7 separate regions of the Mus musculus genome follow, and regions 1, 2, 3, 4, 5 and 6 are each reported to be linked to region 7. Evidence: microRNA targets listed by miRTarBase, many of them from high-throughput screens and not tested one by one. Region 7 holds a microRNA gene; each other region holds the end of a gene's coding sequence.
What was found. The annotated mature microRNA mmu-miR-30c-5p reads UGUAAACAUCCUACACUCUCAGC and lies in region 7 at 2,089-2,111, shown strand. An mRNA with a match to its seed (bases 2 to 7 or 8) in the 3' UTR can be bound and repressed. Matches are read on the target gene's strand: a 7mer-m8 pairs with bases 2 to 8, a 7mer-A1 pairs with bases 2 to 7 and ends in A, and an 8mer does both.

Region 1: miRTarBase lists Mesd as a target of mmu-miR-30c-5p. Seed matches in the 3' UTR shown: 7mer-A1 at 2,911-2,917.
Region 2: the mRNA of Snai1 is a reported target of mmu-miR-30c-5p. Seed matches in the 3' UTR shown: 8mer at 1,071-1,078.
Region 3: miRTarBase lists Six4 as a target of mmu-miR-30c-5p. Seed matches in the 3' UTR shown: 7mer-m8 at 1,410-1,416 and 7mer-A1 at 3,201-3,207.
Region 4: miRTarBase lists Reep4 as a target of mmu-miR-30c-5p. Seed matches in the 3' UTR shown: 7mer-m8 at 791-797.
Region 5: the mRNA of Ccne2 is a reported target of mmu-miR-30c-5p. Seed matches in the 3' UTR shown: 8mer at 1,184-1,191 and 7mer-m8 at 2,246-2,252.
Region 6: the mRNA of Mtdh is a reported target of mmu-miR-30c-5p. Seed matches in the 3' UTR shown: 8mer at 600-607, 8mer at 858-865, 7mer-A1 at 1,137-1,143 and 8mer at 2,121-2,128.

Annotation. Positions count from the first base shown.
Region 1 is chr7:83,897,045-83,901,541 of GRCm38, forward strand. It overlaps Mesd (mesoderm development LRP chaperone), which reads left to right. Exons shown (of 3, transcript NM_023403.4): 3 at 706-3,267. The coding sequence ends at 961. Among named protein-coding and RNA genes, the nearest start is that of Mesd, 7.0 kb to the left of the region's middle.
Region 2 is chr2:167,541,643-167,546,173 of GRCm38, forward strand. It overlaps Snai1 (snail family zinc finger 1), which reads left to right. Exons shown (of 3, transcript NM_011427.3): 3 at 257-1,172. The coding sequence ends at 441. Among named protein-coding and RNA genes, the nearest start is that of Snai1, 5.7 kb to the left of the region's middle.
Region 3 is chr12:73,099,907-73,104,437 of GRCm38, reverse strand. It overlaps Six4 (sine oculis-related homeobox 4), which reads left to right. Exons shown (of 3, transcript NM_011382.3): 3 at 200-4,531. The coding sequence ends at 996. Among named protein-coding and RNA genes, the nearest start is that of Six4, 11 kb to the left of the region's middle.
Region 4 is chr14:70,548,045-70,552,575 of GRCm38, forward strand. It overlaps Reep4 (receptor accessory protein 4), which reads left to right. Exons shown (of 8, transcript NM_180588.2): 6 at 1-31; 7 at 141-295; 8 at 386-891. The coding sequence ends at 451. Among named protein-coding and RNA genes, the nearest start is that of Hr, 3.9 kb to the right of the region's middle.
Region 5 is chr4:11,202,165-11,206,621 of GRCm38, forward strand. Ccne2 (cyclin E2) reads left to right here. Exons shown (of 12, transcript NM_001282943.1): 11 at 26-183; 12 at 821-2,615. The coding sequence ends at 934. It overlaps Ints8 (integrator complex subunit 8), which reads right to left. Exons shown (of 27, transcript NM_001159595.1): 27 at 764-2,419. The coding sequence ends at 2,303. Among named protein-coding and RNA genes, the nearest start is that of Ccne2, 13 kb to the left of the region's middle.
Region 6 is chr15:34,140,189-34,144,651 of GRCm38, forward strand. It overlaps Mtdh (metadherin), which reads left to right. Exons shown (of 12, transcript NM_026002.5): 12 at 504-3,349. The coding sequence ends at 574. Among named protein-coding and RNA genes, the nearest start is that of Gm38594, 24 kb to the right of the region's middle.
Region 7 is chr1:23,289,626-23,294,156 of GRCm38, forward strand. It overlaps Mir30c-2 (microRNA 30c-2), which reads left to right and starts at 2,076; the gene lies at 2,076-2,159.

The DNA of each region.
Region 1 (4,497 bases), not on the chromosome of region 7:
ACATCATGACCAAGAAGCAAATTGGGGAGGAAAGGGTTTATTCAGCTTACACTTCCATACTGCTGTTCATCACCAAGGAAGTCAGGACTGGAACTCAAGCAGGTCAGGAAGCAGGAGCTGATGCAGAGGCCATGGAGGGATGTTCCATACTGGCTTGCTTCCCCTGGCTTGCTCAGCCTGCTCTCTTATAGAACCCAAGACTACCAGCCCAGAGATGGTCCCACCCACAAGGGGACCTCCCCCCTTGATCACTAATTGAGGAAATGCCTTACAGCTGGATCTCATGGAGGCATTTCCTCAACTGAAGCTCCTTTCTCTGTGATAACTCCAGCTGTGTCAAGTTGACACAAAACTAGCCAGTACAAACCATAAGACATAGATGGAAATGACATTTCATGTTAAAGATAAAAATGGGAATTTCTCACCTCTGCAGCACACCTGTGTCCCTTGCAGCTCCCTAAGGAGTTTGTCATTTATAATCTCTTCACAGCGTCATTTATGTATGCTTCAGGACCATCAAGCATCTGCTTCTGTCTTGATCTTAGCAGGATGCTTGTTTAGAGCTCAGTGAACATTAAAGTCAGCAGCCACTTGGCCCAAGGCAGAACAGTTCAGCATTTGGGTGGAATTGAAATGTAGGCCTCCCAGCCTTCTCTGACCCCAGGCACCTCACTTACATTGCTAACTGCTGGCTTCTCTGGCTAGGTTCATCGTGGGATCCGACCGCGCCATCTTCATGCTCCGGGATGGGAGCTATGCCTGGGAGATCAAGGACTTTTTGGTCAGTCAAGACCGGTGTGCTGAAGTCACTCTAGAGGGACAGATGTATCCTGGCAAAGGAGGAGGAAGCAAGGAGAAAAATAAAACAAAGCCAGAGAAGGCTAAAAAGAAGGAGGGAGATCCCAAACCACGTGCTTCCAAGGAAGACAATCGAGCTGGGAGCAGAAGAGAAGACCTTTAGCAGGTGGCAAGCTTCCCGCCAGGTAGGCAGGACCAGATAGCCCCTCGCAGACTGGTGGGGCAGGTGGTGCAGGAAACTGCATAGCAGATGACATTCTCATGTCCTCTAGAAATGGTCTGTGTATGACCATCTGGTCAATATCACAGTTACCGTATAAAAGGCTTCCCATGTGAAGGCAGGATTTGTGATTGGTAGTGGACTGGCAAGTCATGTCTACTGTGGCTTCACCTGACTTTGGAAACTTGATGTTTTGTACCTTTTATTTCTCTTGAGTCCATGACACCCCCAGAGTACCACTCCCTCCTCAGTGCACCTGCTGTGGTCCCATGGCCTGTTGTATCTGTGTATTACAAGCTCAAGTCAGACAAGCCTTGAGAAGCTTCAACTTGACTGAAGCGCGGGTATTGATTGTTCAGTGAGTGAAGATAACTGTGCCGTATGGGCAGTGCTGTGTTCAGTGAGTGAAGATAACTGTGCCGTATGAGCAGTGCTGTGTTCAGTGAGTGAAGATAACTGTGTCGTATGAGCAGTGCTGTGTTCAGTGAGTGAAGATAACTGTGCCGTATGAGCAGTGCTGTGCGCCCAGGATCTGGACAGCAAACTCGTTATGCAGAGTGGGCAGATTCACGACAGTGCCGTCCAGAACTTCTCATCGGTTCTGGGGAATCTTTGTCTCCCCGTCTCCTGGAGTTGAAGAGGGAATGCGCTTGTTCATCGTGTGAGGAAAGAAGGATGCTTCCACTGAGGGCCCACGTTCTGCATAGCCCAACAACTATAAAGTTGGCGAGGAGGGACCAGCAGAGTCTTGCATAGGAGTGGACCTCATCTACAGTATTTCTAAGCGGTTTCCTTTGATGAAGTGCCTAAACTTGTGCTTTTGTATGGTACTCTCATGATGTGCTGCTGTTCACATCTGTTTCTGCTGTTCATAGGTTGAAGCTTCGCTAAAAGAACATTTCTATGAGGATGCCATTTTTAAGAACTCACATTCTTTTAAAACCTCAGTTGTGGTTTGAAATTCGAAATAGTACATGTACACGTACCCGGCTAGAAATTGTCACTGTTAAGAGTGTCACAGTGTGAAGAATTGCCCTACCCTGCTGCCAGTACTTTGTCCCAGTGAAGCTACTGTTGGTCATTGGTTTTTCAAAAATAAAGTACAATTACCAGCTTCCAGTGATAGGTATATTCTGTCCTCCAGTGATGGGTATATTCTGTCCTCCAGTTGGTTTCCGTTCATGTTTCTCTTACCAAGCCACACCTCCCTCCCCAGCTCAGGGCGTCCTGGACACAACCTGCTGAGCCTCTTCAAAAAGAAGCTTTTTTTGGTCCTCGCACCTTGTGACTTGTGATGATCTGCTGCTGTCCTGTTTGAGGGTGCTGCCAATCTAGGAGAAGCTGGGACAGGGCACTCATCCTTTTGGTATCTGTGGGCCCAGCAAATCTGAAACAAGCCCCGTTCCTGGGGTTTTTCTGTTTTCACATGGGGCAGTTGATTGGCTACTGTCATGTCTAGCCATGATGCTCTTTTCTCAGGGCTGCCGTTTCCTTCTGGAAGCCTTCATGATGCTGACACGGGACTGTCATGGCTTTGAGTGTGGTGTGCAGCCTCTTCACCAGGTTCATGCATCACCTGTGATGTAGTTGTCACTGGTGGGTTCTGAGGACAGTGCAGGCATGGCAGGAATGACTGACTGTGAGGAGAAAGGAAGAAATGCATAATGCAGTGAACTGAATGGGCAGAGCTTTGTTGGGAGGTCAAGGGAGTTCCCTTTGCAAAGGCCCTGAGGCTAGAAGTAGTAGACAAGGGTGCTCTTGGAGGCCCCTGAGGAGTCTGGACTGGGGAGTGAGGACTCTAGGAGGCTGTTGGAATTTTGAGTGCCTCAGGGATTTTGCGTAGTACTGACAGGAGAGCTTCTCCGGACTCAGGCCTTTAGTCAGTCTCTCGGGTTTACAGGCAGAGAGGCTTGAAGCAGCCTTCGGTTCATGCTTTCTGCTGTTTCTGATTTCTGGCTGTGTATTCTGAGCTGGGATAAACAGATTCTCCTCTCCAAACACTTATTTGCTACTAGAAACGAAATTGGCACATTAAGCCTCCTTTTATTACAGTTCAAGAATTTGAACTCCAGATTGATCGATTTACCCTCCCTGATTTTTGACAGTCCCTAAACTGCCTCGTGTTGTCACATTTCTTCAAATTCTTGGGTTCGAGTTTCTAAAGCACAAGAAGCCAGGAGGCCCTACTGCTGCTTTTTATGAGTCAAATCAAGTAGAATGAAAGTCTATTAAAGTCACTTGTACCCAGACTACAGATTCCTTATAGTGGTACTAAGGAGGAAAAGCAGGTATGGTGTTGAATGCCTGTAATCCCAGTGTTTGGGAGGGAGAGATGGGAGGATCAGCCAGGCCAGGTTACTTAGTTGCAGGATAGCCTCAGCTACGTCTGAAACTCACGCTCCCCATGCTCCCCCCCCCCCAAAATAACCCCCAAAACAAAAAGGACTAAATGCAAAAGAAACTAGTCACAATTCTTGGTGTATGGCCTTTTCTTCAGAGGAGCCCTCTTAGCCTCCTCCATAAAATTACCAGCAGGGAAGGCTAACACTGCCATCATTGCACTGTAGTCTCCTGTTCTCAGGAGGACGGCCCCTGTTACAGCAACTGCAGGGGCATCTGGACAGCACAACTGCTTCAGTCCAGTGTCCCCTGGGACCACTGGCTTCTAGCTCTCTTTCAAGTGAGGACAGTCTGCTCCTTGGCCAGCCATCTGTCCATGGGGAAGCTACCTCAGGGCTCCTGGGAGCTCCACCACTGGAAATCGTTTCTGAGCAGACCTCATGCAAGCCCCCCTCTCTGAATTTCCTAGGGAATTTCAAAGGACTTTTATTTGTTTGGGGGGGGCGGCAGTGGGAGGAGCTGTGTTAAGTCTTTGGAATGAGTATGCAGAAGTTTCTGAAAGATGCTCCAAAGTAGCCCTCCCCCAAATTATATATCCCTAAAAGTGCTTTAACACCCAAACTTACCTGTAAGCCCAACACTGAGGAAGCAGAAGCAAGATCAGAAGTTCCAGATCAGATTGTATTACATGAGACACTCAAAATGAGACGAAATAAGCAAAACACTACCACTAACAACAACAGAAACAACCTATGACCTAGGTCTGAATGTTGGTTTTTCTTTTGGCTTAGAACACCCTATGAAGACCAGGCTAGCCTCACTGGAGATCCACCTGCCTCTGTCTCTTGGGTATTGGGATTAAAAGGAAGCCCATCTTACCCAGCCTCTCTGGACATTTTCATATACAGTATTTTGGTAAACTTTTTTCCATTCAAAGGGTAAGTTGTTTACAGTATAATTGTTAAAATTTAACATTTGGTATATATTGCTAAATAGCTGCTCCTGATAGTTCTGTCATTTGAGACTTCCCAGCAGGTCTGTGATCCTTGACAGCCTTGGCCATCACATGTGGCATTTCCAACAATTTAAAAACAAAGCCTCTTTAAAAAAAAAAAAAAAAAACAAAACCCTATCTTTAT
Region 2 (4,531 bases), not on the chromosome of region 7:
TGCCTCAGTTTCCCCACCTCTAATAGGACTGCAGAAGGGACAGATGACAGGTCAATCAGAAGTGTTCAGTGCCTGCCAGGTGGGAAGGACTTTGTTTCAGTGAGCCCCGCCTGGAGTTTGGAGACTCAGCAGTCTGGTGGTGTTCAGGGCTGCACAGCAGGAAGCCCAGAGACCCGCATCCAGTGCAGGTCTGGCTGTGCTTGGGCTGACCGGGCCCTGTCCAGGCCTTCCTAACCCTGCTGGTATCTCTCCCCAGGTGAGAAGCCATTCTCCTGCTCCCACTGCAACCGTGCTTTTGCTGACCGCTCCAACCTGCGTGCCCACCTCCAAACCCACTCGGATGTGAAGAGATACCAGTGCCAGGCCTGTGCCCGAACCTTCTCCCGCATGTCCTTGCTCCACAAGCACCAAGAGTCTGGCTGCTCCGGAGGCCCTCGCTGACCCTGCTACCTCCCCATCCTCGCTGGCATCTTCCCGGAGCTCACCCTCCTCCTCACTGCCAGGACTCCTTCCAGCCTTGGTCCGGGGACCTGTGGCGTCCATGTCTGGACCTGGTTCCTGCTTGGCTCTCTTGGTGGCCTTTGCCGCAGGTGGCTGATGGAGTGCCTTTGTACCCGCCCAGAGCCTCCTACCCCTCAGTATTCATGAGGTGTAGCCTCTGGACACAGCTGCTTCGAGCCATAGAACTAAAGCCAACCCACTGGCTGGGAAGCTTGAACCCCGCTCAGGGGACCCCACTTCCCTACCTCCCTCAAGGACCCTTCAGGCCACCTTCTTTGAGGTACAACAGACTATGCAATAGTTCCCCTCCCCCCCACCCCGTCCAGCTGTAACCATGCCTCAGCAGGGTGGTTACTGGACACATGTCCAGGTGCCCCTGGGCCTGGGCAACTGTTTCAGCCCCCGCCCCCATTTGTCCTGGTGACACCTGTTTCACAGCAGTTTAACTGTCTCAGAAGGGACCATGAATAATGGCCATCACTTGTTAGGGGCCAAGTGGGGTGCTTCAGCCTGGCCAATGTGTCTCCCAGAACTATTTTGGGGCCCAACAGGTGGCCCCGGGAGAAAGATGTTTACATTTTAAAGGTATTTATATTGTAAGCAGCATTTTGTATAGTTAATATGTACAGTTTATTGATATTCAATAAAATGGTTAATTTATATACTAAAAAGTGCTCAGTGTTGGGGTGGGGGCACCATAAAGGGACTTCCAGGAGGGAGGGGCAGGGCCTTAAGTCTTGTGCTTTGGAGTTCTAACTAGTCGTGAACTTTGGGGCCTGGGCTGCCTGGCCTGGTATCTGTCCCACTCTGGTACAGTGCAAGCTTCCTGAACTCTTAGTTCTTCGGGCTCTCTTGGGAAGGTGCTTTGTGGGGCTTAGCCACAGCCTGGCCAGGAGCTCTGGCTCCACCATAGCAGGTCTTTGGGGCAGAGCTAGCTGCCCCTCCCAGCTGAAGGGAGGATGTCTTTCCTGTTCCCAAGCGCCTCCCTGTCAGGCAGGCCCACACCTCTGTCTGGCTGCTGGGTACCAAATGGTCTTTGATGCAAGGAAATGGGCTGGCTGGAGCCAGGAGGGTGAGAAGCCAGGCCAAAGGGTAGGGGTCATACAGCTTCCTGCTTGGAGGACCAGGGCTGGAGCAATTTACCTCAGGCTAGTTGGTGCTGGTGACCTCAACTCTGAGGGCCTCCTGGGGCTCGAGAGAAAATGAGTGTCCTTTCTAAGCACAAAAGGTGATGAAGGTGCCAGTTTCCTGTGGGGAGCTGAGCAGGCGTCGGCTGGGAGCTTCAGCCAGCCCAGCTCCAACCCGGCTGGGGGGTGGGGAGCTTCCAGCTCCAAAGGAGAGATGAGTCTTCTAAACAGGAAATGGTGACCCGCAGGCGGGAACAGCCTAATGACTTACAGCTTTCCTCCCAAAAGGAAAAAAAAAAGTCTCTAACAATCGCCAAATTGTGGCAGGCCTCCCTGAAGGGGAGGTTGGTGAGGTGGTATTGGGGGCTGGGCATCAACGAGCTGAAGGCCTACTGTGTCCCCAGGAGGTTCCTCCACATAGGTTGAACAGTGAGTGACTTCACCCCGGGCCTGGAGGGATGGGATGGGCCTCCAGGACCAGACTCAGCGCTGAGGGCCTGGCCCCAGGTCTAGTGCCTAGGACTTGGTCAGCCTGGTTCTGAGCGTGCTGGGAGTCAGGTAGGCCTGGCTCCTGGCCCTGACTCTCACCTCTCGCTGCCAGAAGCAAGCAAGAGTCTCTCTGCTCTCGGCCCCAGTTTCTGCCTCTAGAAATCCGAGGCAACAGTGCCTGTCTCTGGAGAGGCTGTGAGGAAACATTCCTTCAGTCATTCAGTGGGTACTGTGAGCCGGGGTGTGCCAGTCCCTGTGAAGAGTCACTGTGCTCAGGAACTCTGTTCTAGTCGGGGAGACAGAAAACAAACAAGCAATTAAACACACTGCTCGCCTGCAGCAGTGCCAGGATGGAATGAGAGGCCGGGAAGACTTGAGAGCAGCAGGCAGGGTTCCCACCAAGGCATCCAGAGCCCTCGGGAGGGTTGACATTCCAGAGAGGGAGGAGGAGGATGGGAAGGATGGAGGTGGAGGAAGAGGGATGGGAGAATCCTGGGGGAGGGGAAGTAGGCTGTGGGGCTGGGAGAAGCTGTCCTGAGAAAGACCATGTGGCTGGGGGCACTAGAAAGCCAGGAGGAGAGGGAGATCAGGGCCTCTCTGGAACCTCAGCCCAGAATGCAGCCAAGGGGCTTAGAGACAGCAGCTGGGACCAAGGTCCCATAGGCCGCCTGGCAGGGCAGAGACTAGAGCTAGGAGAAGGAATGGAGGTGGCATAGCAGGTGACAAAGGGCTCGGGCCAGGGCTATGGTGGCTGGGTAGTTTACTGCCCACCCAGCCTGGGGCCTTCCTCGCTTCCTTGGGACTGGTCCTGGACCCCAGTAAATGGGAGAGAGGACACAGCTGTCCCAGAAGGAACCTCTCTAAGCCTGGGGCCGAGTAGACAGACAGACAGCCTTCTGTGGGAAGAACTGGGGTGGGGACTGCAAAGGGTTATTCACAGAAATGTGCAGCTTTTGACAACGTGAGGAGAAAAGGCTGTCTCTAGGAGAAGGCAGGCAGCCAAACTAGCCAAGGAGAAGTGAGAGAATCAAGGGTGGAGGCGGGAGGGGAGGCCTTCTTTGAGTTTTAGATTTGTTTGTTTTTGAGACAGGGTCTCCCTATGTAGTTCCAATTGTCCTGGAACAAACGGTAGACCAGGCTGGCCTGGAATTCACTCTGTAGACCAGGCTGGCCTGGAAGGCACAGAGATCCACCTGCCTCCGCCTCCCAAGTGCTGGGATTAAAGCCGTGCGCCAATCAACACTGCCATCATTTATTTTGTTTGTTTGTTTGTTTAAGCATTTTGTTGTTGTTGTTTGTTATTTGTTTTTTGTTTTTTTCGAGATAGGATTTCTCTGTGTAGCCCTGGCTGTCCTGGAACTCACTCTGTAGCCCAGGCTGGCCTCAAACTCAGAAATCTGTCTGCCTCTGCCTCCCAAGTGCTGGGATTAAAGGCATGCGCCAACCAACACGGCCACCGTTTATTTTATTTATTTATTTAAGCATTATCTTTGAAGCAGGCTTTTGTGTAGCTCAGGCTAGCTACAAAGTCTTCATGTAGTAGTGACCCTCCTGCCTCCACCTCCCAAGTGCTGGGATAACAGATGTATACAACTCTGTCTTGTTGTGCTCTTCTGAGGATAGAGCACCAAAACCTTGTGTATTCCAGGCAAAAATCCTACAAATGAAGTTTCAATCTAAGCCAACCCCACCCTTATCCCCTGCTTTGAAGAGAAGGTATCACTTTGTAGACTAGGTTAGCCTCAAAAAAAGGAAAGAGAGAGAGAGAGAGAGAGGGAGAGAGAGAGAGGAGTGTTTGCTTTCTGTGTGAAGGGCTTTGAAGGGCTTATAAGCACTGTGGTTTTTTGTGGTGCTGGAGAGATAGCCCAGACTCTCATATACGCTGGTCAAGTGCTCTATGGCTGACTGCAGAGCTACAGCCCCAGCCTGTGATATTAGTTTTTTTTTTTTTTTTAAGATTTATTTATTTAAGTACACTGTAGCTGTCTTCAGACACCCCAGAAGAGGGCATCGGATCTCATTACGGATGGTTGTGAGCCACCATGTGGTTGCTAGAATTTGAACTCAGGACCTCTGGAAGAGCAGTCAGTGCTCTTTATGTTTTTGTTTGTTTGTTTTTTGAGAAAGGGTTTCTCTGTATAACCCTGGCTGTCCTGGAAATCACTCTGTAGACCAGGCTGGCCTTGAACTCAGAAATCCACCTGCCTCTGCCTCCCGGGTGCTGGGATTAAAGGCGTGCGCCCAATATTAGTATTTTTTAAAAGTACAGGCCTTCTAGGCCTGGTGGCCCACATCAACACTCTGGAGGCTAAGGCAAAAAGATTGTCAGGAGTTCAAGGTCTGCCTGAGCTACATAGCAAGACCTATCTCAAAAAGAAAAACAAACAAACAAACACACACACACAAACAAAATA
Region 3 (4,531 bases), not on the chromosome of region 7:
GAAAGTTAGTCGGCCTGCGTCCTCAGCCTGGGACTCTGCAGTTTACCATACTGAAGCTGAACTACATTACATATTTAAGTGTCACCTCTCCATAAATACTATACCTGAGGAAAAATCGTGTGTGCTAAAGGAGTGACTGTGTGTTTGTTTTTCTTTCTGTATCATTTTCATCAATGCTAATTGGTCCTCTTCCCCCTAGGTAATCTTTCAGTTACCCCAAGCACTTCGGACGGAAGCACATTTACAAGTGAGCCAGCCACAGTCCAGCACGGTAAACTTTTCCTGAGCCCTCTTACCCCCAGTGCAGTGGTATACACCGTTCCTAATTCAGGCCAGACTGTAGGAGCTGTGAAACAGGAAGGCTTAGAAAGAGGCCTGGTCTTTTCTCAGTTGATGCCTGTCAATCACAGTGCACAAGTAAATGCAAGCCTGTCTTCGGAAAATCTCTCTGGGAGTGGCCTCCATCCTCTGACCTCGTCGTTGGTTAATGTGTCCGCCGCCCACGGTTTTTCCCTGACCCCCCCTACACTACTTAATCCCACTGAGCTCAACCCTGACCTTGCCGAGAGCCAGCCCGTGTCTGCACCTGTGGCAAGCAAATGTACTGTGTCATCTGTCAGCAACACTAACTATGCAACCCTTCAGAACTGTTCCCTTATTCCGGGGCAAGACCTATTGTCCGGCCCGATGACCCAGGCTGCCCTGGGTGAGATCGTACCCACAGCTGAAGAGCAGGTGAGCCACGCCTCAACAGCAGTCCACCAGGATTTTGTCAGAGAACAGCGCTTGGTTCTGCAGTCAGTCCCTAACATAAAAGAGAATTTCTTACAAAATTCTGAGAACAAAGCAACAAACAACTTAATGATGTTAGACTCGAAATCCAAGTACGTCCTGGACGGCATGGTTGAAGCCGGCTGTGAAGACCTGGGAACGGACAAAAAAGAGCTGGCCAAGCTCCAAACCGTCCAGTTGGATGAAGACATGCAAGACTTATAAGCCCGATTCACTCCACATCCCTCCTTCTCTGCTTTAACAGGAGCAAATCCTTTTCTTTGCGAAGCCCCGAGGATGGAGAGCTTCTATTCATTTAGAGGAAAACACTGTACTTCTGCAAGCAAGCGCATCTGGCTTGGGCTGCATGAAGAGCGTAGTTAAATACACAGGAGTGGACCTGCACTGCCGAAGCCCCTCTGGTCACATCGTGCTCGCTTTGAAACAGATGGGGCGAGGCAACAGTGAATGCATCCATCTAACCATCGTCTATCATTTAGTCAGCAGTATAACTCCACAGGCGAAATGGAAGGTGACAGTATTTCAGATTTAAAATGCATACACCTAATTTAGGAGATTAAATAATAGCTCCAGGCTCTTGGAAGCGATGCAGTTGGTTTTTTGTTTGTTTGTTTGTTTGTTTACTTTTACTCCATGGGCATTGAGATGGTTAAGAAACAATGGTACTCTAGACTATCATAAGGGTATATTTTTCAAATTATGTAGCTTGTGTGTGTGTGTGTGTGTGTGTGTGTGTGTGTACATACACACATTCATCGTTTTCAGCATTTGGGGGAAAGGCTTGGTTTTAAGTCTCTACGTGTTTCCAAATGTGATTGCTAATAGTCAAACGTGGCAGAGTAAGTTTGAGACGCCACTAAACTCTGACACAACTTGGGTACGAATGTAAATACAGGTCTCTAAGCAAGATCTGAGTAAGTACAGTGAGTTTTTATTTATACCTTGTATGTCTCCCTTCAGGCTCTGTGAACTGAAAAGAAAATGTCTTCTTACTGTTTAATTTATATTTATTGTTTGAGCGGGAATAGGACATCTTTGTTTCCAACCAAGGTTTTTTTTTTGTTTTTGTTTTTTTTTGTTTTTGGTTTTTTTTTTTGTAATTGTTATCAAGAGTCTATTGAGGTCAATATTAATTAACACTGAAACAGGAACTGTTAACCCCCAGTACTGGAACTTTGTCACTTCTCATCACATCCTTCTTACTTTAACAACTTTGATTCATTTAAATATGTTTTCTATAGACTCCTATGTGCCTTTTTACCTTGTGGCCTTTTTATTACTAGTCAGGTACAGAAGTGTCAACAGCAGTGTTGATGGTTCTTTTGTACCGTCAAACAGGGTTAAGTTTACCACAGAACCCCTGCATAAGGCAGGACTTCCGTTTCACTAAATATCATGTGGAAGGTTTGCCATGCACATGGATAGACAGATATAGTCGATGCTTTTCATTATAATGAAAGTAGAAAAGTATAGAAAGACCATGAAACAGCAGTTCTGCAGGCTATGACTATGAAAACAACCTTTTTTTTTTTAATTCTGTTTTGGTTTTAGTTTTCTTGAGACAGGGTTTCTCTGTTAAACAGAGAAACTGTTACTGACCATCCTGGAACTCACTCTGTAGACCAGGCTGGCCTTGAACTCACAGAGATTCACCTGCCTCTGCCTTCCAAGTACCGGGATTCAAGGCATGGGCCACCACTACCCAGCTTGACAACAACCACTTAAAATAAAAAATATATATGTAAATTGTACTAAAAATCTGTTCAACTGAAGCTCATTTCCAGTGTTTTGAATTGGTCGGTATACATGACTGTTGCCTGTCGTATTTAATGAAGTAAATCCTTCCGGTTTCTGTGGGAAATTTTGTTTAAAAGTTTTAGTAGGACTCTGCATCTATGATATAACAATGCAATGCCTTTATGCTGTTAGTCCAGGGCATCTCTGATTTCAGAAAGAAGGCGACTTTTTCTAAGGTGACTTCTCAGTTGCTAAGCACAAAGATAGTACCACTCCTTGGTTTTGTTAAGGTGGTGGAAGGGTTTCTAACTAACACACTCATCAGCTGAGCCTGCAGAGTAACGGTCACTGGGGACTTAACATTTGTTGTTACACAAGGGAACTTTCAGTCAAGATTAAGAGCCCTATGAAGAATTCTGTGCCCATCATTTTGATCAAGAACCTAAATCCCATTTTTGTGAAATTGGTGAATGTCCCTCAATTGCTGAAATATGCAATTTGGGCCAGAGGTTGTTGTTTGTTTGTTTTGGATGTTCTTGTTTTATTTTCATGAAGCCAGTTGCTTCAGTGTGGTTTTCCACTCTGACACTACTTACACAGCTTGGCTGCCCCCGTCTCCCAGTTATTTACTGATCATATTAATGTGATTAGCATCCTGGTCTTGTAGTATAGTTTACATTTTTAAAAAATGTTATTTTTTACTAGATTGCTGCAGATATCAAGAGGACATTATTTTAAAATACCTGTCTGGTAAGGGAAGTGGGAAAGTCAAAACGTTCTATAAGGCGGGTGTGTGTGGGTGTCTGCGTGCGTGTGATGGAAAACTCCCATATATCTGACAAAAGTATCTTTTTTATTCCGAGTTCTTCCTCCTTTTCTCCTTATGAGAAAGAAAAGATAGCACAAAACTAAGTACTTACCTAGGAAATGTCTTCATATTCCAACATGATGAGCTTCTAGCCCTACAAACACCCCAGGTATCTATACAATCCACCCGGTAAGACTCAGTGCTCATTATGAGAACTTACTGTTCTAGTCTATTCTTTCAGTAAAATAAGGGCCAGTTGATATGCAGCCCATGTATGTGTGAATGGAATATGGTAAACCCCGTGATCTCCTTGCACAGAATTGCAAATGACTTTTTTCCCCAACACCAAGGGCCCAGCCTCGGAGCCCTTGGAGTTCACGTGGCAGAATATCCTTCTTACATAAACCAATGCTTGAAGATGCTGCAAAGGATCCTCTAGTGATTCCTGATGAGGAATCAGAATAGAGGTAAATAACCCCCTTTAAATCCCACCCCTGCTGCTGGCTGTGGGGTTTTCTGGTGCCAGCCTATCTATGCACTCTATAGCCAGAATTGGCACTCAGCTCTTAGTTACGTCTAGTAGAGAGAATGGTCTCTAGCATTCAAAGGAGGTTCATTCCCTCCCCCCCCAAAACAAACAAAGGCCCCTGTGTTGTACTGTATAAATATCTCATGTAGATTTATAGTGAAGACTTAATACATGTCTGGTGCCTTTCTTGTGTTGTGAAAGGCAAGTAGATGTTGTAGCCATAGGTCTGTTTTTTAAATCCATAGTTGAATTGCACACTGACCTTAACTCTCTGTATGTACCCTTGTTATTCTGCATGTTAAAGCTGGAATTCTTGGGCGTGTATGGCAGACTACCCTGCTACATCCTCAATATGTGAACATTAGTGCATAAACTCGAGTCCTCTTTTCTCAAGTGTTTTTGACAGATCATCTCATAAAAATAATTCAGGAAGTCTGGGGAAAAGTCACTATGTTTTACAAGAGCAGTTTCAAAGTCTTCCTAAAACTTGGATGATAGACCCTAATGGTTATTTTGTGTCTAATCGAGACATTTCGATTTAATTAGATATTACCACCATATGTTTTATTAATCCAAATTATATCGCATGTGACTCTTTGGGTTTTCAGGGTTTCTCAAAAAAAAAAAAAAGTGTATCATTTTGTTGCATGTACTGTATGTTCAGA
Region 4 (4,531 bases), not on the chromosome of region 7:
GACCAGGTACCCCGACGTAGACCCCCTATTGGTAAGTGGAAAGAGGGGGAGCTGACCTCTCTGAGGACTAGAGGCAAGCTGGGCGTGACCCTAGGCTTGTATAAGTGCTCAGCTTTGCCCTGCGGGCCTCTCTTTGGCAGGATACCGGCCAGGCGGCCTGCAGGGCAGTGACACAGAGGATGAGTGTTGGTCAGACAATGAGATCGTCCCCCAGCCACCTGTTCGGCCCCGAGAGAAGCCTCTAGGCCGCAGCCAGAGCCTTCGGGTGGTCAAGAGGAAGCCATTGACTCGAGAGGTAAGTGTGTTGGAAGGACGGCATGAGGGGGGTGTGGATGGAGCTGCAGTGCCCACACCACTCAAGGTATACTGGCTTTCTCTTCCCAAGGGCACCTCACGCTCCCTGAAGGTCCGAACCCGGAAAAAGGCCATGCCCTCAGACATGGACAGCTAGAGTCTGCAGATTGAGGCCACCTTACCTCTGGAGCCAGCAGGGGACCTTTCGCTGCTACACCAGCTACCGGGGTTCTGCTCCGTCTGGCTTGTGCCTAAATGGCACATGGCGTGGTACCCTGCACAGGGAGACATTCACTATACCAAAGCAGCCCAGGCCTGGGGCCTATTTATTGCCTTCCTCTGCCTTTTACTTTCTCAGACACGGGACCAGAGCCCCACCAGTCCCTACCGACGAAACCAAAAGTCCAACCAGCTGTGTTCATTCCTTCTTGTCCTTCAAAATACTTGACAGCCTTTTCCAAGGCCTGGTGTGTGTGTGTGTGTGTGTGTGTGTGTGTGTTTACGTACACTAGCTGCATGTTTCGTGTTGGTGAGTGAGGTCAGGCTTATGAATATTTTTATATAAATAAATACCAAACAGTGTTTGGCCTCTCCTAATTTGTCTCTTCACATCTCATATTGTAGCTAACAACTCACTGCAGGCTCTGGCAAAGGGTGTAGAGACTGCTGGAAGATCTCTGTGCCCCATCCCAGCAGCAGTATTCTTACAGTTGCTCCTAGGGATCCTTGTGGAGTTAGGGTAGAGCCTGGTGTATTGGCACAAGCCTTTGATTCCAACATGGTTGAGGGGGAGAGGGCAGGAGGATTTCTGTGAGTCCAGCATGGTTTACATAGCCAGTTCCAGATCAGCTAGGACTAGAGAGACCCTGTCTCAAAAAACAAAAAACAAAGAGTCAGACTGATCTTGAAGGGTCAGTCGGGAATCAGTACTTACAGGAAGAGGCAAAGAGATGGGGAGCCTATAGAAACTGTACAGAGCAAACCTGAGGAGGCAGGCTAGGTCTTCCATGAACCTAGAGGAGCCACAGTTCAGTGAACTCTTCCTGTAGACATTCAGATACGATTAGGGTGAATTTGCACTCTAAGCCACAAGAGGGCAGCAGCTGCCTAGGGCCAGGCTGCCCCCACCTTCCAGGTCAAAGTGGGCGGGGCTCAGAGACGAGCCAACGCCTCACCCTGCTGGGGCCTGGATGCTGATGGGGCAGGCCAAAGGAATGATGATAGCCAATGATAGCCCTTGTCTGATGCTTGCCTTCTCCATCCATAGAGACCCAGGCGCTTGCCCTGGGTTGACTTTAATCCATCTCCTTTGATCCCTGGGTCATCTGCCCCTAAAGTAGGAGGCACGTTGTACCCAGGGTCCTCCCTCCTCCCACCCCATCTGTCCTTCCTTCCCACTTCGGAGTCAAGAGTGCTGGTTGGAGGAAAACTATGAGCTGCTAAATTGGAGTGTCCTGTGAGGATTAACTCTTGGTGTAGGGATTATCTGGGTTTTATTGGAGGGGAAGGCACTTAATCTGTGTGGCTGATTTAGCCTGGCATGGACTGGGGTTCAGTGGCTTTTCTCTATGGCATCCCCTCTGTATGTGATGCTGACTCTTACTGCCTCATTACTTCACCCAAAAGATGTGTTGCTAGGAACTGTAGGGGTGAGGAGACAAGGAAGTAGCCGCTATTACTATGATCCCCATTTCCCAAACAGGCACACAAAGGGCAAATGATTTGCCCAAGGTGGACTAGCTAGTAAGTGGCAGGATTGGGCTTTGGACCAGGCAGTCTGGCTCCAGAGTTGATGTTCTTAATCACTATTCAGTAAATGGGCTGTTCCTTGCCTGGGGGCAGGGGCAGGGAGAAGGAGTCTGGCATGTGTGGGATATTTGTTGCTCGCCTGACCTTGTGCTGAGCATTTCAGAGCTGGTTTCTTTGAATCTTCGCAAAGGGCCTGTTGTCCATCTTACAGGTGAAACGGCTTTCTCCTCTATAGAGGTGCTGCCCGAGAGGTGGGCAAAGTCACTTGGTCCTCCTGGGAGGACTGCTGAAGCCACTGTGCCCTGGCTCTGCAGAGCCCACCTCTGCCCTCCCCCGGCCTGCTTTGTTCTCCTACTCCAACTCATACACCTGTCTCAGAACCCTCTGCGCGCATGCCTCTGCCTTGCCTAGCCACTCACGGAGAGACTTCAGCCTTATTTTTACTGTTGTATCCCAGACTACATGGTTGAACCAAGGTGTGATATTTTTATAACTGTGTGATTTGTTGGTGAAATCCTGCTTAGTGTCTAACTTCTGCACTGAAACGTCACCCCTTCCTCTGAGAAGCCTCTCTCACTCCCCAGCATAGGATTAGAAGTCGTGGAGTCACTTGTCACCACGGTCATATCTCTAACTGTGGCTCCCAGCCTCAGCTCAAGGCCTGACACCCATCCGAAGCCTGAAAGAGGATTGTGACTAAACCAACACATACATCAAACATCTTAAACCTCTTCAGGGTGGGAGTGAACTTTTGCTTTGGTGGCTGTGCCGTGTCACCTTAGTTCCACCACACAGCTTTCAAAACACCAGTGTCTCTGGTATGGCTTGGTGAATGGCTGGGTAAAATCACATGGTTACTAAGCATCCTGAGGCCACAGAAAAACAAATGTGTAGAAGGTCCAGGTGGTAGGCATTTCTGGGCAAGCATAAATGTGAGCCAAGACTTGGGGCACTGGGTAGCAACCTGGACATCCCTCAGAACAGCTCTGAGAACTACCCAAACACACCTTCACCCAACACTATCCTCCCCTGGAAAAGAGCCCTGGACCACCACTGATGCTCTGGCCTGGCCTCTTAAAGGGAGGGCATCTGGTCTTGTTCCTACTTTCCAAGGACCACCAACTTTCTACTTGAGACCAGTGTGCCTGGTCTCCTCCCCAGATAGGATCAAGGTTGGAAAAGGACCTGACACCAGAGACCAGTCCCTAGCACATACCTTCTGTGAGTTCTGGTCCCACCCCCACTCCTCAGCTTTTCCTACTCTTCCTGGCCTGTTACCATGACAGCCGGGACTTCCTCTCACAGTCCTTTCTCTCTCCACTTCACCTCTTGCCATCCTTTTTTAACCCTCTGCCTCTGACTCCATCACTGTCCCTCTGACCTGTGGCCCTTCATTAGCCTGGTCACTTTCCCCTTCTCTGGATTCTGTCACAGCACACAGGATCCTGTGGCTTTATTTTTAGCTGCCACTCCCAGCAGCATCCTAAGCCTCTGGGTCCCACACATGCAGCCCTAGCCCAGGCTGAGTTAGGGGTCCTGGCAGGCACTGGAGGAGCTCCAGGGGGTAACTGTTCAGGTTCACATCCCCATTTCTCACCCAGCATCTGAGATTGGTGCCCACTAACAAGCGACCTTCACCGCTGGTTCCTAGGGTTGGGGGATCCTGGGGGCAGAGCTGGCATCGTTGCACACACAGGTCCCAAGTTCAGCCTGGAACACAACGCAGGCTAGATGGCAGTGGGGGAGGGCTAGAGAGAGGAAGGGCTCCAGAAGAGGAATTAGGTCAAGGATGTGGGTGGGTGGGCGAGCGAGCAGAAAGGACAGCATCTACCCCAAGCTTCCTCCTGGCTCCCGCAGCATCTCCACACTTCCCTTCCCTGTCCCCTCCCCCTGGTCCTGGGAGATTTCTTCGCCCTGTATCCCCCTTCCCCATGCCCCCCCACCCCAAGCATGGCCACAGGGGTGGGGGTGGGGTAGGGGGAGGCCAGCTTCAGCTGTCTGAAGGATGGAGGGGCTGGGGAAGCAGGGCTAGGTGCCCAGACGGCCGCGTGTGTGGGAGGGGATGTCCTCAGATGCCCTCCACCCGGCAGTCCCCGCTCTGACGTGGGTGCCCCCCCTCTCCCCGCCCGGATTAGTGGCAGCTTGGCCTGACTCTCCGGGGCTCCTTCCCCCGCCCTGCCTGCTGCCCACCCCTGGGCAGGGGGCTACTCTGCCTGAGGGGTACTGTGCTTGCCCAGGTAAGGGTCTCTGGGGTGGAGAAAGGGCAGCCGGCTGTCAGAGAGTCTGTGCCTGTCAGCAACGAGTGTGTGTCAGCATGTGTGTCAGTTTGTGAGGGGTCGGGGTGGGTGAGGGCTGGGCCCATGTGAGTCTGGGGGTGCTAGTAAGTTTGCCAGGTCCATGATCTGGTCTTGTGACCACACACTGGGTGGCTTCCCCCCCCCCACGAGCGCCCTCCCCCGTGTTTGTGTCTTTTGTGTATGTCCTCAGC
Region 5 (4,457 bases), not on the chromosome of region 7:
CATTGTATTAACTTTTTAAATCTAGGTTTGGAATGGGATGACATCTCGGAATGTGTAGACTGGATGGTGCCTTTTGTTAGTGTTGTAAAAAGTGTGAGTCCAGTGAAGCTGAAGACTTTTAAGAAGATACCCATGGAAGATAGACACAATATCCAGACACACACAAATTATTTGGCTTTGCTGGTATGGTTTTTTGTTTTATGTGTTTTATGGGAGGTTGTTTTTTTTTTTTTTTTTTTTTTTTTTTGCTGCCTTATCTTTCATTGTTTTTAAAAATCGTGCTATTTAGTTAAGTCCTGAAACTAATGGGGTAGAAGTTAGCAAAGTTTATCTAAGGTCTGAAACTACTGTGCATTACTACTTAAGACAGTTATTTAAGATGATAAATGGGAAAGTAATGACCATGTTGACTTAAAATATAAGGGAGATAACTAAATTAAGGCAGACTTGATGATAAGGGCCTAGGATGCACACTAACTAGTACTAGGGAGGCTGAGGCAGGAGGATCATAAGTTCCCAGGCCACATAGTAAGACCCTATCTCAAGAAAAATATTACTGTTAAGCAGCTTAAAATCAAGACCAGCAGCCCAGATAAGAAATTAGAAAGTTTTGTTGAAATAAACAAGGCTGATCTCTAACTCGGGGATCCCTCTGCCTCTCAAGTGCTAAGATTAAAGGTATGTACCACCCCCCAGCCCCCAACAAAGATAGAGACTCTAAAATTAAGTTTGGATAGAAAAAATTGGTAGAGGTCTGGTATTACTACATACTTAGTTTATCTTAACTGTTAATTACTGAATAATTTCTTCACATGTACAGAATGAAGTAAACTATGTGAACATCTACAGAAAAGGAGGGCAGCTGTCACCAGTGTGTAATGGAGGCATTATGACACCACCAAAGAGTACTGAAAAACCACCAGGAAAACACTGAAGTTAACAACCTGGAATTGAACAAATAATGGATAGTTTCATATAAATGAGTTTTACAGAAAAGTAGTGCTGTAACTATCCTTGTCTAAGGAGTTACACTGCCATTCTTTTACTTAAAAACTATATCAATTTGGCACTAAATGCCTAGGATGCACAAAATCCTGGGTTCAATCCCCAGCACTACAAAAGGAAACAAAACAAAAACTTCAAAAAATTGGCACTAAAGAAGTATTTCCTATAAAAGAGAACTTGTTTACAAAGGTGACTTCACTCCCAAGGATAGTGGATGGAAGCCAACAATTTAAGCTATAGCAGTTGTTTCTGTTTGTTACTGTGTTTCTTTAAAATTCAGTGTTACTGTATTTCTTTTGATGAACTAGGAATTTTATCATTGGAATATGGACTAAACTAGTGCTACCTTAAAGGATACATTAGCTGACACAGAACTTTGAATCTAGATTTTATATTCTTAAATTCCTATACTCTTGAATGGTGCAATTTGTTTTTGAAAATAAATTTTAAGCTTATTTACAAAGGTTGTTTTGTAATAAAGTGACTAATTTATCTAAAGCAGTTTGTAACAAACGATAAAACTTGAATTTTATGAATGGTAAAGTTCAATCTGTTTTGAACTAGTTTGTCTGCCTTGCCATATTTCTTAATCAGTAAGGCACTGAACCAAATGTTTAAACTGTGCTCTAAATGGGAGAACCAAAGAAATTATAAACAAGATATAAATGCTTTGGCTTCTTCTACTCGGGGGTTTTACTTGATAGAAAGGTTGCTTTATAATCTTTTTGTGTATCACAATTTGGGTAAAATTAAACACTTTTTCAAACTATATAAGAAAGTCACTTTATTGCACACTAAGATATCTCTAAGGCGCTTTATGTTTGCAAAACTGGTGGTCCATTTTTAAGCCCCATATTATGAGATGAGGACTGTGTCAACATGAAAAAACTTTAACATATGACCTAAACTATTTTCTTATGGCAGAAAATATTAAATGTATACTTACTCCTAGAAATTTATTTATTTAAACTTGCTGTATATAGAATAGCTACTTATACATTAAATATTTTAAGTTAGCCTTTGAAAAGGAAATTTGGGCCTAAAAAAGTTAATTTCATTAGAAAAAAAATGGTACCAGGCATGAACCTTGTCTCTCTTTGAAGAAATTATAAACTATTGTTAAGATATGAAGTTTTTGTATAATTTGTTTATAAACTAATTTGTTTCAGTTTGTTTTGGTCTAAAAAGAAAACACCACTAAATTGTACATATGTATTATATAAACTTAATCTTTTAATACTGTTTACTTTTAGCCCACTGTTTAAAAAATAAAATTGAAAAAAAATTAACTAACTGCTTAAAAGTAAAGTTTTGCCATTGCTTGTAGAAACTTCTTTTTCCTTCTCTGTGCTGCCAGCTGTAATACTTCTTCAGGGTTGCTTGCATTCAATTCTGTTTGGCCAATGGCTTTGATCTTAAAACAGAAAAGTGTTATTAGAAGTTTGACTGAAAAAAATTGTCACAGTAGTACACATAACTCAAAGTTAAAGTTAACTAAATCAAATTAAAAACTACAGAAAAAAATGGCATCACATTGATCCACTTTTAGTATGGTTACCTGGAGGGACATTTAGTTACACTAAATAAATTTCTGTATGCTTATGTGATTGTATATAAGATGGTTGTCTTTAGTAACAACATCTTTATAGTTAAAGTTTGAAAGAAATCACAAGTCATGTTTCATAAACGGGCAAAGTAGCTATGTTCTCAGAAGTAATTAGAAACACCATGACCTACTAAGTTAAAAATCTAGTTTTGTGTTTTAACTGTCTGTCTCTGACCGAAATTTTAAAGCTATAATTAGACTAGAACTTTCTGGATCAAGGAATGCATATGGGCAAAGGCTGGTGGTGGGGTGGTAATACCTTAAACAAGCCATGGCATCTCAGATAATTGGTAGAGAAGCACAGGTATTTGAGAGAAATCATACACCTCATCCGTGTGGGTGCTATAAAAATCGTGACAGGATTGATAAGGAACAGTGGGCTGAGTGAACAGCCCTGTGATGGAGCACTTCATTAACATGTATGAGGCCATGGATCTGTCTCTAGCTCTGTGACCGAAACTAAGAAAGAGCAAAGGAAGGCCCAAGGACTACCTACCTAGAGGATGAAATTTAAGAATAAGCAGGAGATAACTACATGAAAGCATAGAGCTATAGTTGGGGGTGGGGTTGATGAATAGAAAGATCAATGATCTAATGAAAGAAGCCACAGGTAAACAGGAGGAGGAGGATTGAAAGTATTTACTGGCTTTTGTATCTGTTAACTCTTGAAAGGGCAATTAAAACATAGTCGTGGCAATATTTAAATGTATAGAGTGGGAAATTTTAAAAACCTAGGCAGAGGGATCAGAACTGGCCAGAGATAAAGCATAGTCAAAGGACTGACATTAAGGATAAAATAGGTTACCAACTGCAGAAATTAGTTAAAATGCCAGTGGGAATGGAACAGCAAAACTTGCCTTCATCAAGTTACCATGTGAAGAGTGGGCTTAATGCATACAAATACAAATGACCTTCAAGGTGAACAGTAACTAGAAACCAGTTGGCATTCCTAAGTCCACAATGGTTAAGACTAATTCCCATAAAGCCAGTAGGTTGTCTTTTTTTCTAATCTATCCCAAGAAGAGCCAAGGAAATCATTCAAAATGGAAAATGTACAAACTAGGGATTTAACAGGAAAAGTCTAAAATAACAGACTTTCAAAGACTGTTGAGGCTACTAAGATAAACAATGAAAGAAGCTGAGGAAATGGGTAACAATGGTTTGGTAGTGGCAAGACTGTATGGTTATGACTTTTTAAAACAATCAGGGCTTTTCCAAGAAGTAAAGAAAGACACAAAATCCATATCTAAAAGTTCTAACAGTCAGTCAACCAGTTTGACTACCATACTTGGCTCATTATCAGATAACCTAGAAAGCTTAAGAAATGAATTTAAAAGCTTGTCTGTTGATGCTGAGCAGACTGTACTTGCTGGACTTATGGTTGAGTAGGGAAGGGTGGAAAGAAGGGGCTGACTGATGGTGGAGGGGGAGGTCACAAACCTAATTTTGACAAACACAGAAGCAAGAAAGTCAGACAAGGCTATGGGCATAATGAGTTATAGTAATAAGACAGAAAGCACACTTGACAATAAGATCAATGTAAAGGTAGTGAGTAGAACTGTGGCTGAGAGGCCTCTAAGTGTGAGGGGTAAAGGATAACCTGATCTGCAGGTAGAAGAACCAGGAGTCAAATGAGACAGTAAGGATATGTAGTTAGAACCTTTAAAGGAGAAAGGGTTTTAGAAATAATATAGGGGCGAGCCACGTATGGTGGTGCACATCTTTAATACTAGCATTTAGGAGGCAGAGACAGATGATCTCTGCCTTTGAGGCCAGCCTGGTCTATATGAGTTCTAGGATGGCTAGGGCTACATAGTAAGACCCTGTCTCAAAAAATAAAAGTATC
Region 6 (4,463 bases), not on the chromosome of region 7:
ACATAAGGCTGTCCCCTCTCAAAAAGAGGCAGGAGGGAAGAAAAGAAAAAGAAAAAGCAGATTCTGTAGGTTGCCATCAGTTCAGTGTCAGCAGTTACAATTAATACCCTGGGCTGTAAAAGAAGGGAGGCAGAGAATAGCTAACTTGAAAATATCCAAGACTGGAAGACTTATTAAACAATAAAATGTTAACATTAGTAGAGTTTTTTCATCAGTGTTACTTTTTGGGTTTTGGGGGCGGGTGTTTTGTTTTATGTTTCATTTTTTTTGTTGTTGTTTTGAGACAGGGTCTCTGTTTGTAGCCTTATCTGTCCTGGAACTTGGTGGATGGACCAAGCTGGCCTTGAACTAATCTACCTGCCTCCCGAGTGTGGGGACTAAAGGCATGCACCACCACTACCTGGCACCATAGTTGTTACTTTTATATTGTTGATATATACTGGTTATCCTCCTTACATTTTTTTTCTCTCCTCACCTTCTCCTTCCCTTTTTTTCCCATTTAGCCAAGTCTGAAACTAACTGGGAATCTCCAAAACAAATAAAAAAGAAGAAAAAGGCCAGACGGGAAACGTGAATTTTTTTTTCCTGAATTGGACATGTGTTTACAAACACTGTCTTGAAGATTATGCTGTTTATGCAATAATTTGTGAACATGTACAGAGTTTTATATAAATTTAAACCAATTTTTAAAACAAAACTGAACACAACCACCATAAAATGGAATCAAAGGAAAGTTAATTTATGAAATAAAGAGGTCAACAGAATACACAGTGCTGGAAGACACTTGGGAGAGTCTTTTCAATTGAACGAGAATGATCGTAATTTAAGACTATTATCCTGGTTTTACAACAGTTACCTGTTTACAACAGACTGTGCCCTGTCTCCTCTGCAGCTGAGGAATAATGAATGGATTCTGATTAGAGAGAAGGCTGCCGTGAGGCCAGTAGGCAAGTCCTTGGATCTTATGCACGACCTTAGACCATTTGAATCTGTTTTATGCTTAAATCAAAGTGCTTTGATCAAATGTATAATCTGCCATATCTTTACATATTTGTTGTAGCAGTTTGTATTAAAAGAATCACAAGTGCAAATTAAAAGGTCATTTATCATTTATTTAACTAAACTGTCTTGGTTTAGTTTACAGTTCTTTAAAAGTTCTAAATTAAAACATTAAAAAATGCAATTGACAGACACTTGTATGACTTACAAAGTTATTTTTGATAGTCTTAACATTACTTGAATTATTCAAAATAACAGTATATTTTAAATTAAGAAAGGTAAATATATTATTTGTTTGATACATTAAGACTGAGACTAACAATGCTCTTGTTTATGATTTGAAAAGTTTTCAGGCAAATCCAACTTAGTGTTTTTCCTTTCCCTAGCAATTTTCCAGTGTCAACTCTTAGTTGCTAGTAATTTTTTTACCTTAAAAATGAAGTAATTCGCAACTTTTGAGCATATGACGGAGAATGCAAAAGTAGTCAGACAGCTTTAATTGATATTGTGGAGACCTCCGGTTATCAGGAATACATTTTTTTACTGCCTTAACCTCCTGTAGTGAGTAGAATATGCATCAGTTTCTTGAAGGGGATTCGTGTTTTTATAAGAATTTTCATGTAACTATTGCAATTGTGGTTAAAAACAGAAAGGAACATTTTCTGCTTGAAACTGTGTTGATTTGAATGACGTATGATCTGTCACCATTTTCAGGCACTGTGTGATCCCTAGGAAAGTGGCAGGCCTCTCTGTAACTGTTAATAGTGCATGCTCGGCCATGTACACTGTAAATAGCCTTTACCAAACGTGTTTGACAAGGACCATAATTAACATCACTTTAGTAAATTGTGATTTTTTTAAAAAAAGCCATGATTTATTGATGTGAGTGGCTTGTTTTCATGTGGCGCCAGAAATGAACCTGTTTAAAAGCTATAACCAATGGTACTGATCTATCCATTAAATACTGTCCTTAAACTGTAGTTTAATAGTATTGTCAACTAGGAAAGCTAAAATGGTTTTTGTTCTGTTGAAGACTGGCCTTATTAATGGACAGCTTTCCTCAGAAGTGATTAACAACTTTTTTATTGGGTGTTAACATCTGTTTCAAGAACATGGCAGTATGTTTACATGTCGTCAGAAGTTTTCTTTGAATGGAATTTCTAAATTAATTTACTTGTTTAAATAAATTCAGAACTGGGTAGCATTGTTTTTATTTGCTTCACTATTGAGGTGAATAAGAGCTGATGTGCCACAAATGGAGCCTTCAGATGGCTGCTTTGAGCTTCGTGTTCCCTCAGGGGATGCCAAGATATGTCTCAAGGAGAGATTAATGAGGGGTTTGTAATTACAGAGTGTGCCAAGGTCAGTGCTCACAAGTTTAATTGAACTCTCTCAACTCTACCTCACTGTTCCTTTTCCTTATAATTCTCTGGGCTAGGTCAAATCAGAAACTTTATTTTTCGGTTCAGTATCTCCCGATTCAATCACTTGTAGGAGGTGGTAACTACACTTAGCAGTAAGAATATCACCTTTTTGAAGAGATGTGTATTATGGGAGTGGAAGCACAGCGATACACTGGGTAGGTCAGTGTGGAAGTCGCCTCTGTGCCTTCCTTCTCGCTGGCTTGTGAGCCAGGCCCCCCTCCCCCCCAACCCCCACGCCGGTAGAAGGAGGCAGGTATATGAGTCAAAATCCAGTTCTCTTAAAATCGTTGCTCTTTACCTCTCTATAGATCTTTGTGTGGCAGGGCAGTGATTTTTTTTTTTTTTTTTTTGTCACTGAACAGAGGAACTGGCTTCTGTCATCAACTCAGAAAACTCTGATGCCACCTGTTTCCCTGAAATAGGCTCTCTGAAAAGCCTTTCTGTTGTGGAGCAGGGCGTGGCCATGTCAGAGTTCTCCAACTGCATTATACCTATACCCTAAATTGAGAAACAAACAGTTGAGAGAGTCCAAAAATAAAAGTTGAAATATCATTGATGTAATTACCATGTTTCATTTGTGCATGCATTTTATTGGGGATGGGAGGTTGGAATAATTTATCCAAATCTAATGGTATTATTTCATAGGCTAATCCAGTTTGTATTTGAGTTAAAGATCCCAGAGTGTAGTAATTAATTGCAGCGTTTGGTTTTTCTTAATTAAAAGTAGTCCTCTATTAATATAGTGTGAAATATCAAAATTTAGGATTTAAGTTTAAGGTCTAATGGCTATTTTAAAGTTTTTCTGTAAATTCTTTGCACAAACTAGAATTGGAATTGCTTTCAAAAGACTTGGGGAATGAAAATATGTCATGTGTAAGATGCACTGAGTGTTGTAAATAAAACAGACCATTTTTGTTTTGTTTAAATTGTTACATTCTCTGTGGGAAGGGACTTTGTCCTTTTGTTGTGGTCTAATAAGATATCACGCCTTTGGTTCATGGATTTTACTTTTCCTTTCATTAAAATCATCATTTCAGGCTTTGCCACCAACAAACCAAATATTCAAAGTTACAAACCTCTGAGAATGAGCATGTGCAGCTGGGCAGAGTTATACATTCCTTTAATTCCAGCACTCAGTAGGCAGAGACAGGCAGATCTCTGAAAGTCTCTACACTGTGAGTTCCGGGACATAGTGAGACCCTGTCTGGGGCGTGAAGGGTGGTCAAGAGAAAGAGAATGAGCACTTATGATAGTGTCCTCCATGGGAATCAGCCATAAGTCATCTTAGTAAGTATGACTTTTTTTTTTTTTAGGTTAAAGGAATTAAACTAGAATTTGACGTGCATTAGTTGGTATGTGGTAGATTAACTGCATTGCCAAACAGTAGTGTAGTGACTTATGATAGTTTGCTTCTATTGTATATAAAAATCTGGGTAGATGCAGCGACTTAACATGTGAGTGGGGGGACATTTAGGGGCAACAGGGGCTTGCAAGGAGTTGGTACTGGGAGAAGAGGGGCTGGTATTAGGTTGTAAAGTAAATAAATACTTTCTGTAAGTATTAAAAAATAAATCTGGGGGAGATGGCTCAATCCTTAAAGTGTGGTAGATAACTAAATCCCACATTTAGAAAACCTGGATGTATTAGTGTGAACATGTAATCTCTGTAATAGGGAGGCTTGCCGGCAGCCAGTCTAATCAAATTGTTGAGTTACAAGGTCAGAGAGACCCTGCCTTTATAAAGGTATGAAGAGTTATCTAAGAGGACAGCTGTGTTAATCCCTGGTTTACACACATGCACACCTGCACAAACAAATACATACTCATAACTGGTCGGGGATGTAACCCAGGCCTAGTACACAGTACAGCAGCGAGGATTCTTCTATGTTGATTCCTGGTTGGAAACAGATGGTTTTCACTTCACAATTCTTGTCAGCACCTGAGCCACTTGGAAAAAGCATTTCCCAGAGAATGTTCATAGACATCACTCTGGAGACTTAATTTGCAAAAGGTGCTTGGTCCCATCAGCCATAAAGAATGG
Region 7 (4,531 bases):
TATATATCTTGAAATGTTAGATGTAGTGTGTTCTAGGGATTTTAAAAATCAGGTAATGGCCAAAAAAAATGATTTTATGGGGGGGAGACAGTATGCCAGGTTTATAGCTTAAAAACCTCAATCTAGTTGTTGGCACAGGGTAGGGTGGAGGAAAGTGGTGAGGTGATTTAAATACAGAGCCTTACCAACTGCCACTGGGCTCAGATACACACTTCGGGGGCTTTATTATTATTATTATTATTATTATTATTTAGAACTGAAAATGACCAAGTTTTCTTTTCCAGGAAGCTTTGGTGATGCTTAAAGACCAGAACTAAAGTTATGTTCAAGATTATGTTTAGTTCTTACAGACTGTTTGACAGTTTAAATCCTTAAATGATTGTGATTAAGGCAGTTTCCTTTCATTCCTGTCCATTTTTAAACTGTTTACATGGATGTCTCTGAAGTTATTTTTCACCCTGACTTTTCTTTATTTGGAATCCATCAGAGAAATAAAATTTAAAAATCAGGTGGTTCTCAGGGAGGGTTAACTTTCCCTAAGATCTTGCTGTCACTTAAGAAAAGGTTGGCTAATGTAATCACTTCTCCTCCTAGCCATGAATGCCATAGAAAAGTATAGCAGCTGTACTTTGAATTACTAGGCAATTACAAAGACTGTTTCTGGAATGGTTGTTCCTTTTCTTCTTGTTTTAAGAAATTTATATTCTTGAAGTGATTAGATTGCCAGATATTAGATAGCATCATTCATATATTTATTCTTTAAATACTGTTTATACCCAATAAACCCTGGTTCCATGTTATGGATTTTCATCAAATAGAATGAAATTGAGTAAAACTAAACTAAACTTCCCAGGAAACTTGGTTTTATAGAGAGATAGGAAATAGCAATACTAACAACAATGAACTATGAGTTGGTTATAGATAAACATTCAAGACATAATGATGGAGAAAGGACAGAATAGGTAGTTCCTATGGGGTGACAGGGCCCAGATTTTACCAGAGATCAGTGGAGGCTGCTTTGGAAGAGAGATGCTAGATTTGAGATTTGAGACAGTATGGGACTAGTTAGTCTCAATTACCATTTATTTTAGGGCTGATTCTTGACCCACTACTGCAGTACCTCCTACACTACGATTGATGCATCTATCCTGCAGATTAGGTTGTTTTGAGGATTGAGATTGGTAGTATTCATTTCTCCTTACCCAGCATTTTACATCACTGCTGGTATGTGGCAAGTACATACAAATGTTTATCTAATGCATGAATGAGTGATTTGTGTTCACACTGGTTCACAGGTGGTAGTCTCATCATGTAGGCTTGTTTTGTAATGTTTTATATAAGCGATGACTTTCTTCTTTGCTATCCAATAGATCAATTTAGTAAATCAACTCTATTCCAGGAACTGTTTGAATCATTCATTATCAGAAAAGAACTTAGGAATTGACTGGCTCCATTTATGTGTATGCCTCCAGTTATATATTTCTTTCCACATACAACATTTTAAATTTTCTAAGATTATGCTATATTTAGTGTACCAGCTTAATGCATTATTTTATATCCCAACCAACATGTTTACTCTGCTCATTGGATTGATTTATGACTTCATAACCCACCAATAAGATAAATGGCTGTCAGTGATTAAACTTTTGTATAGTCTTATGTCTGCAGATATAATTGAACAGTTGTTCTCAGTTCTGTTAGGAGTGAAGCAGAACAAAAATCATATAGCTGAGACAGCGAGAAGGTAGACTTGTTTTCCTAAAGTTAGAGAGCAGGGTAGTAATTCGAAAGGAAATTCCTCAGACCATTTTGGGAAAGCATAGAAATGCCTGGGTATTAGGGCCAAACCAGGAAATCCCAGGAGAATCCTGGCATGTGCAAAACAGAAATTGATTAGGCATCAAGAAGGTAAGCATCCTGCAGCCTTCTTACCGGCTCCAGACCTAGAAGCTGAAATTTAGTCCCAAGTACACTCTGTTTTCTAGCCCCTGTTCTAACACGTCACGGGATCTCCAGATGTTCCACGGCATCCTGATGCTTGTGCTGCTCACCGCCAACCTGCTCTAGAGAGCACTGAGTGACAGATATTGTAAACATCCTACACTCTCAGCTGTGAAAAGTAAGAAAGCTGGGAGAAGGCTGTTTACTCTCTCTGCCTTGGAAATCAGCTAAGAGAAATGAATTTTAGATGGCCTATAGGTGATCCTATCAAAGATCTGTTATGCGGTCAACTCTAAAAGGTAAAAGGGTGAGCTAATCTGTGCTAAGAAGTACAAGACACTTTGGGAGATTGGTTATTTTTAACTGTTTAAGAAGACCAAGTATGGTGGTGTGTGCCTATAATCCCACTACTCAGGAGACTGAGACTGTTGACTAGTTTAAACCAGGTTGGGTTACCATGTAAGATTCTGGGCTACATCAAGAAAGCTGTCTCATAAAAAGTTTGTATGAGACTATTATTTCATAGATTGCTGTGGTAGCCTGTTATATGAAGCCAATAATACACTAAATGCCTGCATTTTAGCTCACCAATTTTTCTATTAACTTGGCTAGCATTTTATATACTGTGTTTGTATTTTGATGGTGTCTGGGACTTGTTACTTTACCAGGGATGAGATGCAGTTTAAATCCTTATATGACAAAAACTTGCTATTTAAGGTGGGATTGTTTGGTGCAGTTGGGGGATATACATGAAGAGAATTTTAAGCAAAATCTATGGTACTACCTTCCAAGTTCAACTTTTTTCTTTTTACAGTAAATCATCTATATTAAATGTTTTTTGAACACCTCATCTAGAATTTGGGGTTGTGCAAAATGTGAGTTCTTTTTGCATTGGGCAATCTAACAAGCATCTACCACTAACCTACATCTCCAACCCCAACAATTAGATATTGTTTTAATCAATATCAAACGTCTTCTTTTCAGAGATACTGAAGATAAAAGTATATTCTTACACAACAAACTCTTAGGATATTAAAATACTTAATGCATATATTAAATTATATATATATATACACATATACAAACTTGGCATACTAGCATGCCTCAGTCATTTAAACCAAAAGACATTATATTGCCTTAAGTATATTAGAGAAGCATTTTGTTTCTTCAGAGCTCCAAATGTAGCATATAAGATAGCATGTAGGTCTAGTTTAAAAAATATATATATAAATACAGTGAGTTCAGCATGTGAGTTCAAGAAAGTATTTGGACAAACTGGTTTTATATCAGATAAAGATACTGTTGAAGTACTAGCTGAGCAACTCAGCTTGGATGAGTCATTAACCTTTCTAGATTTGCCTTCAGGCTTAAAGAAACCTTCAAGACAATGCTCTATATTCTCCTGAAAAGAACAGTTACTATTGATTGAACTTGCACTTTCTGCCAGGGATACAGGCTGCTCTGGACAAGGACAGCTCTGCTGGAAGTAGGTGGAGTCCGACACCACATGTGCTCTCACTGCTTTTTATTGAGAAATTAACAAGAAAGACACCTGGATATTCCATATCAAAACTGGCATTGAGTTTTAGCTCTTCAACACTTACTGAAAAGTATGAAATTAAGTGTATTATTAAACAAATATTTATCGACTGAGCCACTTCTTGGGTATAGAAATGTGGCAGAGACTTAGAAATAAATAATATGTCATGAGAGATCTGTGTATTCTATGTATTTATGTAAAATAATCCAGCTTTATTCAGTGATATTTTTGCCCTTTCAGTTCTTTGATACCAAATAAATTTTAGTATTTCAGAATACTATAGAACACTTGCAGACATAAACCACTTTCTTCCTCATATGTCTTAATAACAATAGTGAATGTGACATGGCTAACTCGTATAAGTAAACATGCTTAAGAGGTCAGTGTTTTCTTGATACATTTTATGTACATGTCACATGTCTTTGTTGAAAAGATATTGAACAACAATATGAACTAACCATTATCCCCAGAACTCGTGGCTCTAGCTGCACATGTAGCAGAAGATGGCCTAGTCGGCCATCGTGGGAGGAGAGGCCCTTGGTCTTGCGAAGATTCTATGCCCCCATATGGGGGAATGCCAGGGCCAAAAAGTGGGAGTGGGTGGGTTGGGGAGCAGGGGGAGGGGGGAGGGGATAGGGGATTTTTGGAGAGGAAACTTGGAAAGTTTGAAATGTAAATGAAGAAAACATCTAATTAAAAAAAAAGGTTGTTAACAAGTTATAAAAAAGTTGTATGTTTATTTACTGTCTGTTATATAAATGCAAATATCATTGTCATTATACAAGTAAACCTAATTACTTTGAAACCTTTGTTCAAATTTATAGCTTTATCTTCACATATTTGTATAATTACCGATGCTGTAAACACTTTAAAAGAATATGAGTAAATATCAGTGTTCTATTGGAAAAATAAAAAAGCTTTAATCAACTTATTGTAAACTTAATAAAAATAGAAATTTTGCCTATTTCATCTTTGAATTATTTTCTTGTCTTAATATATTAATTTTATGTCTAGTGATCGCTTTCTATAAAACTAACTTAGATTTCCCAA